2 linked regions of the Oreochromis niloticus genome follow. Each later gene encodes a partner of the first gene's protein in a complex. Links are inferred from orthologs where the notes say so. Each region holds a gene or a part of one and is shown in the gene's direction. Other genes may lie near its edges.

Region 1 (3,753 bases):
TTCAGGCCCCTCGGCTGTGGAACCAGCTTCCAATTCAGGTTCAGGAGGCAGACACCCTCTCTACCTTAAGATTAGAGTCTAAACTTTCCTTTACAATAAAGCTTACTGTTAGACCATCCATAGTTATGTCGCAATAGGCCTAGGCTGCCATGATGCACTGAGCATTTCTTCTCTACTTCCTTTTCACTCTCCATGTGTCATTATTTAGCTCTGGCTTTGTCTCCCACAGCGTGTCCTGTCTCCCTTGAGTCTCTTCTCTTTCTCCTCACTCCCAACTGGTTGCGGCAGATAGCTGGACCTCCTTGAGTCTGGTTCTGCCCGTTAGAAAGACGTTTTTCCTTCCTACTGTTGCCAAGTGCTTGCTCACAGAGGTTCATCTGATTATTGGGATTTTCTTTCTATTGTTGTAGCTTAAAGCATCTTGAGGCACTATTTAAAAAAATATCTGAATGGAACTGAAAATTATTTGATATTTTAAAGGAATGTTGCAGAGACTGTGATATTAGAAAAGACATACTGTATTAGTCTGAGATAGTGACAAATAAAAGAACAATCCTTCGCACTGTTATAAACATTACATGAAGTGAAAGGTCAAATAAAATTTCTTATCCCATTAACGGTGTCACAGTGTTTGTTAAAGATAAAAGCAGGAGTGTAAAACACTTGACCTGATGATGGTTCTCTCCGCTGAGAAAATCTAGTGTGCCTTGTCCTGTTGAATCAGGTGTGAGTGTGACGGATTTTCTGTACTGTAGTCACAGATAATAATTTTAAGATAAAAAAATATGATACGCATTGTCTCATAAAGAGCTATTTGAACATTTGAAAAGTGTTTGCTCTTTTCCCAGAACAGGTGGGGTTATTTTATAGTTCTTGTTCCAATGATAACACCCTCAAGACTCATTAAAATGTTACAGAGATGTCTGCAGAGTCGCTCTGTTAATCTGGCTTAGTGAGTGTTATTTTAAAAGTACACTAAAAAGAAAATATGCATTATATGGAATAAATAATGTGAGACATATGATCCATTATGGTAAAAAAAAAAAAAAAAAAAAAAAAAAAGCAAGAAAATCTTATTATTCTTAAAATTTGCTGATCTCAGGGTTGAATGAAACTTGTTTCCTCAATTCCTCTTTGACGTCTAGGTTGAGCAAAAACTCCAAAGAACATACGTAATCAATACAGAACACAACATCCCCCCATACGAATAAATACATGTGCAATATGGTGACTTTTCAGTGTATCACCCTAGAAAGATGGCAAACTGAAACAAGACTGTTTATCCCTCCTTTTCCCACTTCTTTATAGAAGTTGAGCTCTCCTTTTCACCCCATTCAGGATTTTCTTGCACCATTCTACTAAAGTCATTATATAAAAGGGCACTGGGTGGTCTCCCAAACCTACTCTCAAACCTATTTATCTATATCTCAAGCTCTGTCTGTACAAAGCAGGATGTGAGTCATGACAGGAGAGCCCCTGACTGACTCAATGGTACTTTGGTTAATCAGTAACTAGAGTGGGAGCACACAGCTGGCCGGGTGGGTTAAAGTAAGAGTGCAGAGGAGTCAGGATCTCACTTAGCACCTCATTCAGCAGCAACAACAGCAGACCCATCTGGTAAGAGAATTTTTTTTTCCTATATTTTAGTAATTGCTTTTTGATTGTGTGGTAGTTTGAACTGTTACAGATGAGGAGGGATTTTTTTTCCCAGAGTGCTTTGCTGAATTAAAAACTAAATGTGTTGAAAAGCAAGAATGTTTTAATTTGGCGAACAACAAAGCTTTGAATGTTTTGTTTGTATTTACATCTAAATTAAAATTAAATTAAAATTTGTTTCTGAAAATTTCTATATACAGAAAGAGATTTTATGAAAAATATATTTTCAAGAAAACTATTCACATTTCTGGACCTCACAAAGCACATAAGTTGTGAAGTAGCCTTTTTTTTCACCACCTCTGTTATAGAGTCAGCAGGTACACAATAGGTTGGTTGTGTATAGGAACATTGAGTGCACTGGTTTTATTGATCAGAGACCAAGGCCATGTCCTGTGGTACATGTCCTAATAGATGAAAATCTAGTGTTTGCTCACCGCTTCTAAGAGTTCATCAGTCCACACTTATGCATGTTCAAGTCAAAGGATAAAGTCCTATTTTTGCATAAGAGAGCACTTACCAAAGTCACTCTGCTTCACAGCTTTGTAGACTAATCCTTCATAGAATTAATGAAAATTGTTACTTGACTTTAGAAAACTGTCCAGTAAAATAACTTAGAACTTAAAAATTGGCCCTATAAATGGTAAAAATGGTAAATGGCCTGTATTTGTATAGCGCTTTACTAGTCCCTAAGGACCCCAAAGCGCTTTACACATCCAGTCATCCACCCATTCACGCACACATTCACACACTAATAAAATAAATTATGCATTTATGCAGCTGTGAAAGTTTGTTTTGTACTTCTATTGATTATTTCATTCTATGTGTTTTGGGTTTTTTTATGTAGTTTTTTTGTTTTGTATTTGTAGAATTGTCATTTAAACACACAAAAAAGTTAGTAACAAAATATAAATAAGTTGTTTTTTTATTTTAAGCACACTAAGTTTGTACCTGTCGTTTCAAGATTAATTTTTATAGAATACAAAGTTTCCCATTTTATTTGGGTCAGTGAACATATGCAAATACACACACACACACACACACACACACACACACACACGCACACACACACAGTCTTCATTATCTATGCGACCTTTGTTGCCGAGGGTAATGTCTGCTCTCACTCACTGACCAGCAGGAGAGAAAGCGCACAAAGAATTCAATCAATCTCTGACATGCAGGATCTGCGGCCAGTGTTCCTGCCAGCCAATCATATACAAGCTGAAAACCAGATTGAGCCTGATTTGCGATGAAAGCTGACCAAAAAGTCATGTAACATTCCCAGAAGACTTCAAACTCAGCGCTCTCCTAGCCGGGCTGACACAGAAAATGGTCAGTTATACTTGAGGTGATTGAGGTTGAAATAACTAAATATATGTCTCTCCAACCAACAGAGACAACCGTTTTAGGGTAATTTCCAACCAAAGGTAAAATGCAGAGACTGTGGTCACCTCTTCTCGTCCTCCTACTATACTGCTGCCTCTCAGGAAGCCAAGCCAACCGAGTCTACGTTCACCCCTTCTATCTTTTTGCTGCTGAGAATGTCAGCTGTGAGACCCTGCAGGCCCCCATGGTTAAGCCTCTGGAGACACTTCCTGTGGCTCCCCTTGACAATGAAGTCTTGACTCCGGACCACAGGGATCCATCAAAAGTCGATGTACAGAGGCAAAACATCACAGAGAGGACAGCAGTTTTGGCAGGGCTATTAAATGCTCTGGGCTTGAGGATGTACAAGGCTCTCAGCAGCAAGCAGCACAGCGCTAACACCCTCTTATCTCCAGTCAACACCTTTGGATCCCTGGTCACCTTCTACCTGGGAGCCTCCAGGAAGACAGCAGGTTCATTCCAGGTATTTATTTACTTTTGTTGTCACTGTTGAAGTAGAACCTGCTGAGCCTAGGCTATGTGTCTGACCATCCATCAGATTATCTGACTAAGTCTTGTACTTTCACTCTACAAAGAAGTAAACAACCTCAATTCATTTCTTTCTATCCAGCTTCTACTAGGCCTGAGTAGGGAAACTGATGGAGAGGACTGCGTGTCCTTAATGGATGGACACAAAGTTCTTAAGACCCTGCAGGGCATTAATTCTCTTCTGGA
Region 2 (3,753 bases), on another chromosome or scaffold:
TTCATGGTATCGGTTAACTTTTACGAGTACGAGTACGCACACATTTTACAGTATCGGCACCGATACCCGATACCAGTATCGGTATCGGTGCATCCCTACCTTGAACTGAACTTACAGATATGCATTGTCCTTCCCTTCTCTCAATTTACATCAGAAGAAGACTGCAGACGTGTAAAACCTGACTGTTTCACATAGAAGAAATTCAAAGGTGTGTTAAATGCAGACATTAAAAACCACAACAAGACCTTTGATTAAAAACTGAAGTCGTACTGGATTTTAATAGGAACATTTGGTTAATAAAAATTAATCTTGTTTTTTTATCATTATTATTATCATTGTTTTTGTTATTTTCAAGAACAAAATCCCATCTAATGTTATTAGACACAGCTGGCTTGCCAAAGGGTCCTACATCACTTGCCAGAAAATTGCAGAGAACTTTTTTTAATATTATTTTTTTTAGCATTTGCCTTTATTAGATAGTGACAGTAGAGACAAAAAGAAAAGCAGAGAGAGGGGAAGACATGCAGCAAAAGGCCACGGGTCAGACTTGAACCCAGGCCACTACTTTTGGGCCATGGTGCATATTGGTACCTGCTCACTCACTGAGTTACACAGGTGCTCAATTTCTCAATTCTGTCTTGATTATCACGTGTTTTGACAAAGACATCTCCTATGACCTATGTAAATGGTTGGTTCAAGAAATGTGAACATTTTTCAAAAATGCACTTCTTTAATCCAAAGTGAAAGGGAAACATTTGTAGGTGTTTATGTGGGTTATTATGGATTAGATTTCCTGGTCTGGTCTGCTTCAGATCACACTGGGCAGGCTACCCATGAACTAAAACTAATTTCACACCCCTGATCTAATAAAATGAAATCATCAGCAGATTAGAGAAATAATGTAAAAGTGCACAGCGAGATCTGGATTTAAAGTGGCTTGTATTTGACTTTAGTAAACAAGCTAATCTGTCCTGACAACTCAAAGCATCATTTGGTTGCTTCGAATTTTCTCACAGCCCTTCACACAAGGTCTCCAGGTTACCTACGTCACCAATCTGCAGACCTCTTCACCCCTGCTTTCTGTCATCAGTGTTTTTTAAAGGGTCAGAGTTCACATCTTTCACTGGGACCTGTTTATCACAGAAGAGGTTGTGTGATCAAGGCAGAGGGGTAGAGTGCAAGGTGAGGGGAGGGAAGAGGGCTTGTTTTCCAGTGGTCACCTCCAGGAAAGCTCCCAACCAGAGCCGGGCCCATGGGTGAGAGCACTTAAAAGAGGGCATGGTATAAAAAGAGTTGAGGTGCACGATATCGGAGAGAGCGAGAGAGAAGAAGAGACAGCTTTCACAAAACCAGGAAAACCAACTTTTGTATACAGAACCGACATCAGCGGCCTGGATTTTCCTCCTGCCATCTGAGAAGTCACCATGGCACTACTGATAAATCAGTGGATATATTTGGTTGCTCTATCACTGACAGTGACCACGAGCCACGCTTTGAGAAGGTAAAAAAAAGAATCATTTGCATGCCTACATGATTTGCTTAAAGGATCTAACTCGCTGGATTTCTGCACTAGCATTATAGATAACATTCTGGAGAAATGTAATGACAGTAAACCATAAATTATATAAGGACATGAAAACAAATGTGTTTTATTGATTCATTACAAAAGCTAATGATTTCAGCATTTGGGTTCACATGTGTTTTTGTTCATCTATTTGGCTAGGTGCTGAGAGCAAAGCGGTCTGTACTTTGTTAAAGGTTCATACTGAGATGATCACCAGACATATGTAATAGATACATAGCACGGAAAATAAACTCCATGTACCTCTTTAACATGTCCTTAGCTATCGAGTTTCCTCTTTGGATTCATTCAGAATGTTTCCCCTTGCCCGCTCTGGTTTCAGAATTGCCCTGAAAAAGATGCCATCTATCAGAGAGACTCTGCAGGAGCTGGGGGTTTCTGTTGAGCAGGTGATGACTGAGCTGGCCCAGAAGAGCATAGCTGACACCAACAACGGAACTGTTCCCACGCCACTAACCAACTATTTGGATGTGAGAAAGCTTAATGTGATCCATTGATTAGAGCTACAGATGATAGAGGTGATAGAAAATGTAGCACTGAAACCACCTGGGTTTGCTATTTCAGTTCTGAAGATAGAAACAGACTTTAGCCTCTATGATTAAAGGTTTCATCTCTGCTCTTGGATGAGCATTGAGATGTCTTCAAGACAACAGCAGATGGACTTGCCTTTGAATTAGTCTCTTGAAATATTCTCTTTGTATGAGTCAGACTTTCCACGTTTCTCTGTCATTGGCCTTAAAAGTGACATTTAAGACGTGGGAAAACCTTTGAAAAACTATTCAAACAACAATGACGTGGGACATTTTTCCACTTTCAATAGACGCAGTACTTTGGAGAAATCAGTATTGGCTCTCCGGCCCAGATGTTCAATGTGGTGTTTGACACGGGCTCAGCCAACCTGTGGGTGCCCTCGCAAAGCTGCTCACCATTCTCCACTGCATGTTGTAAGTGCATATTCAAACATTTTTTTTTTTTCTGAACTTAGTGAACTTAATGAACTTAGAAGATGACAATATGCCAACGTTAGTTTATGCTCACTGCCCCCCCCCCCCCCCCCCCGAAAAAATAGATGCAATATTTAGGGAACATTGTTCATTAAAACTTCCCAGGTAAACATTCGCTGTTGGACTTAAATACTTTTTCAACTTTCAGTTACTCACAACAGGTATGATGCTTCAAAATCCCGGACTTACATTGAGAATGGAACAGGATTTTCCATCAAGTATGCCTCTGGAAATGTCAGGGGATTCCTGAGTGAGGATGTGGTTGTGGTGAGTTTCAAGTCAGAAACCTACAAATTAAATGGGTTTTGTTTCTTTTTTAAACTTCCTCTTGCACACTACACTTTAAACTTTTGACTAGCAGTGTTTTATTGCTGCAGGTTGGTGGTATCCCAGTAGTGCAAGTGTTTGCTGAAGCCACGGCTCTGTCTGCCATGCCCTTCATCTTTGCCAAGTTTGATGGAGTGCTGGGGATGGGATACCCCAACGTGGCCATTGATGGCATAACCCCGGTGTTCGATCGTATCATGTCTCAACACGTCCTCAAAGAAGAAGTTTTCTCCATCTACTACAGCAGGTGGGTGTAAGTAAATCAACTGAACTGACATTTTATATGAAAGGCTTTTGCGCGAGGAAAAAATAATGACAATAATTTAGATGCTGAAGAAAATGTATCAAGCTGTCAACGATATTTATGCTGCAGTGAAAAAATGAACTTGCTGCCAAGTGTTGAATTGATCAATCAGAGAGAAAAACACTATAACCATAAATAATGTCTCGTCAGAACATCTGTTAGATTTTAGGATCACGTTTTTTCAATTTCTACTTGTTGAGCTGAAAAAGTTAGAATTAGAAGAAAAAACCCAAGATCGTACGAGATGGATCTGGATCTGGGTGAGACACAAGGGTGTTGTGAGAAAATAGAAAAAAAAATTTATGTGTATTTTCTCATAGTTCTTTGTCATTTATTATATTTGGTTATATCCAGAATAAACCAGTTGAAAAAATATTATGATGTTTTCTTTTACTGTGGGAAGTGCCATACGAAAGAATTAACTTAAGCTAAAGGAACGTCCCATATGGAAATGAAATAGTGAAAAGATATAATAAATGTTTTGTGTTTTATATGTGTTGGATGTCTCATGAAACATGCATTAACCCATGTTTTAC

The links. The genes of interacting proteins can lie anywhere in the genome.
Region 2: the proteins of agt (region 1) and ren are in contact, whole or in part, in a crystal structure (PDB 6I3F), measured with the Homo sapiens proteins. The link is inferred for Oreochromis niloticus from reciprocal best matches to the Homo sapiens genes AGT and REN. Residues at the interface, in NP_001369746.2 of Homo sapiens: Asp25, Tyr28, Ile29, His30, Pro31, Phe32, His33, Leu34, Val35, Ile36, His37, Asn38, Glu39, Lys91, Leu92, Ala95, Met96, Met99, Leu100, Phe103, Arg107, Arg148, Ala151, Ile152, Gly154, Gln353, Gln354, Asn355, Asn358, Glu391; in NP_000528.1 of Homo sapiens: Tyr81, Met82, Thr84, Gln85, Val102, Asp104, Gly106, Ser107, Asn109, Ser118, Arg119, Leu120, Tyr121, Thr122, Val125, Tyr126, Leu147, Arg148, Tyr149, Ser150, Pro181, Ala182, Leu183, Pro184, Met186, Leu187, Ala188, Glu189, Phe190, Val193.

What each region holds. Positions count from the first base shown.
Region 1 is NC_031978.2:13,537,114-13,540,866, reverse strand, and holds the start of agt (angiotensinogen), read left to right. Parts: upstream 1-1,475; 5' UTR 1,476-1,617; intron 1,618-3,047; 5' UTR 3,048-3,085; coding exon 3,086-3,502; intron 3,503-3,649; coding exon 3,650-3,753. UniProt on the Homo sapiens protein: Essential component of the renin-angiotensin system (RAS), a potent regulator of blood pressure, body fluid and electrolyte homeostasis.
Region 2 is NC_031984.2:14,940,846-14,944,598, forward strand, and holds the start of ren (renin), read left to right. Parts: upstream 1-1,221; 5' UTR 1,222-1,424; coding exon 1,425-1,501; intron 1,502-1,904; coding exon 1,905-2,052; intron 2,053-2,402; coding exon 2,403-2,526; intron 2,527-2,734; coding exon 2,735-2,853; intron 2,854-2,963; coding exon 2,964-3,166; intron 3,167-3,753. UniProt on the Homo sapiens protein: Renin is a highly specific endopeptidase, whose only known function is to generate angiotensin I from angiotensinogen in the plasma, initiating a cascade of reactions that produce an elevation of blood pressure and increased sodium retention by the kidney.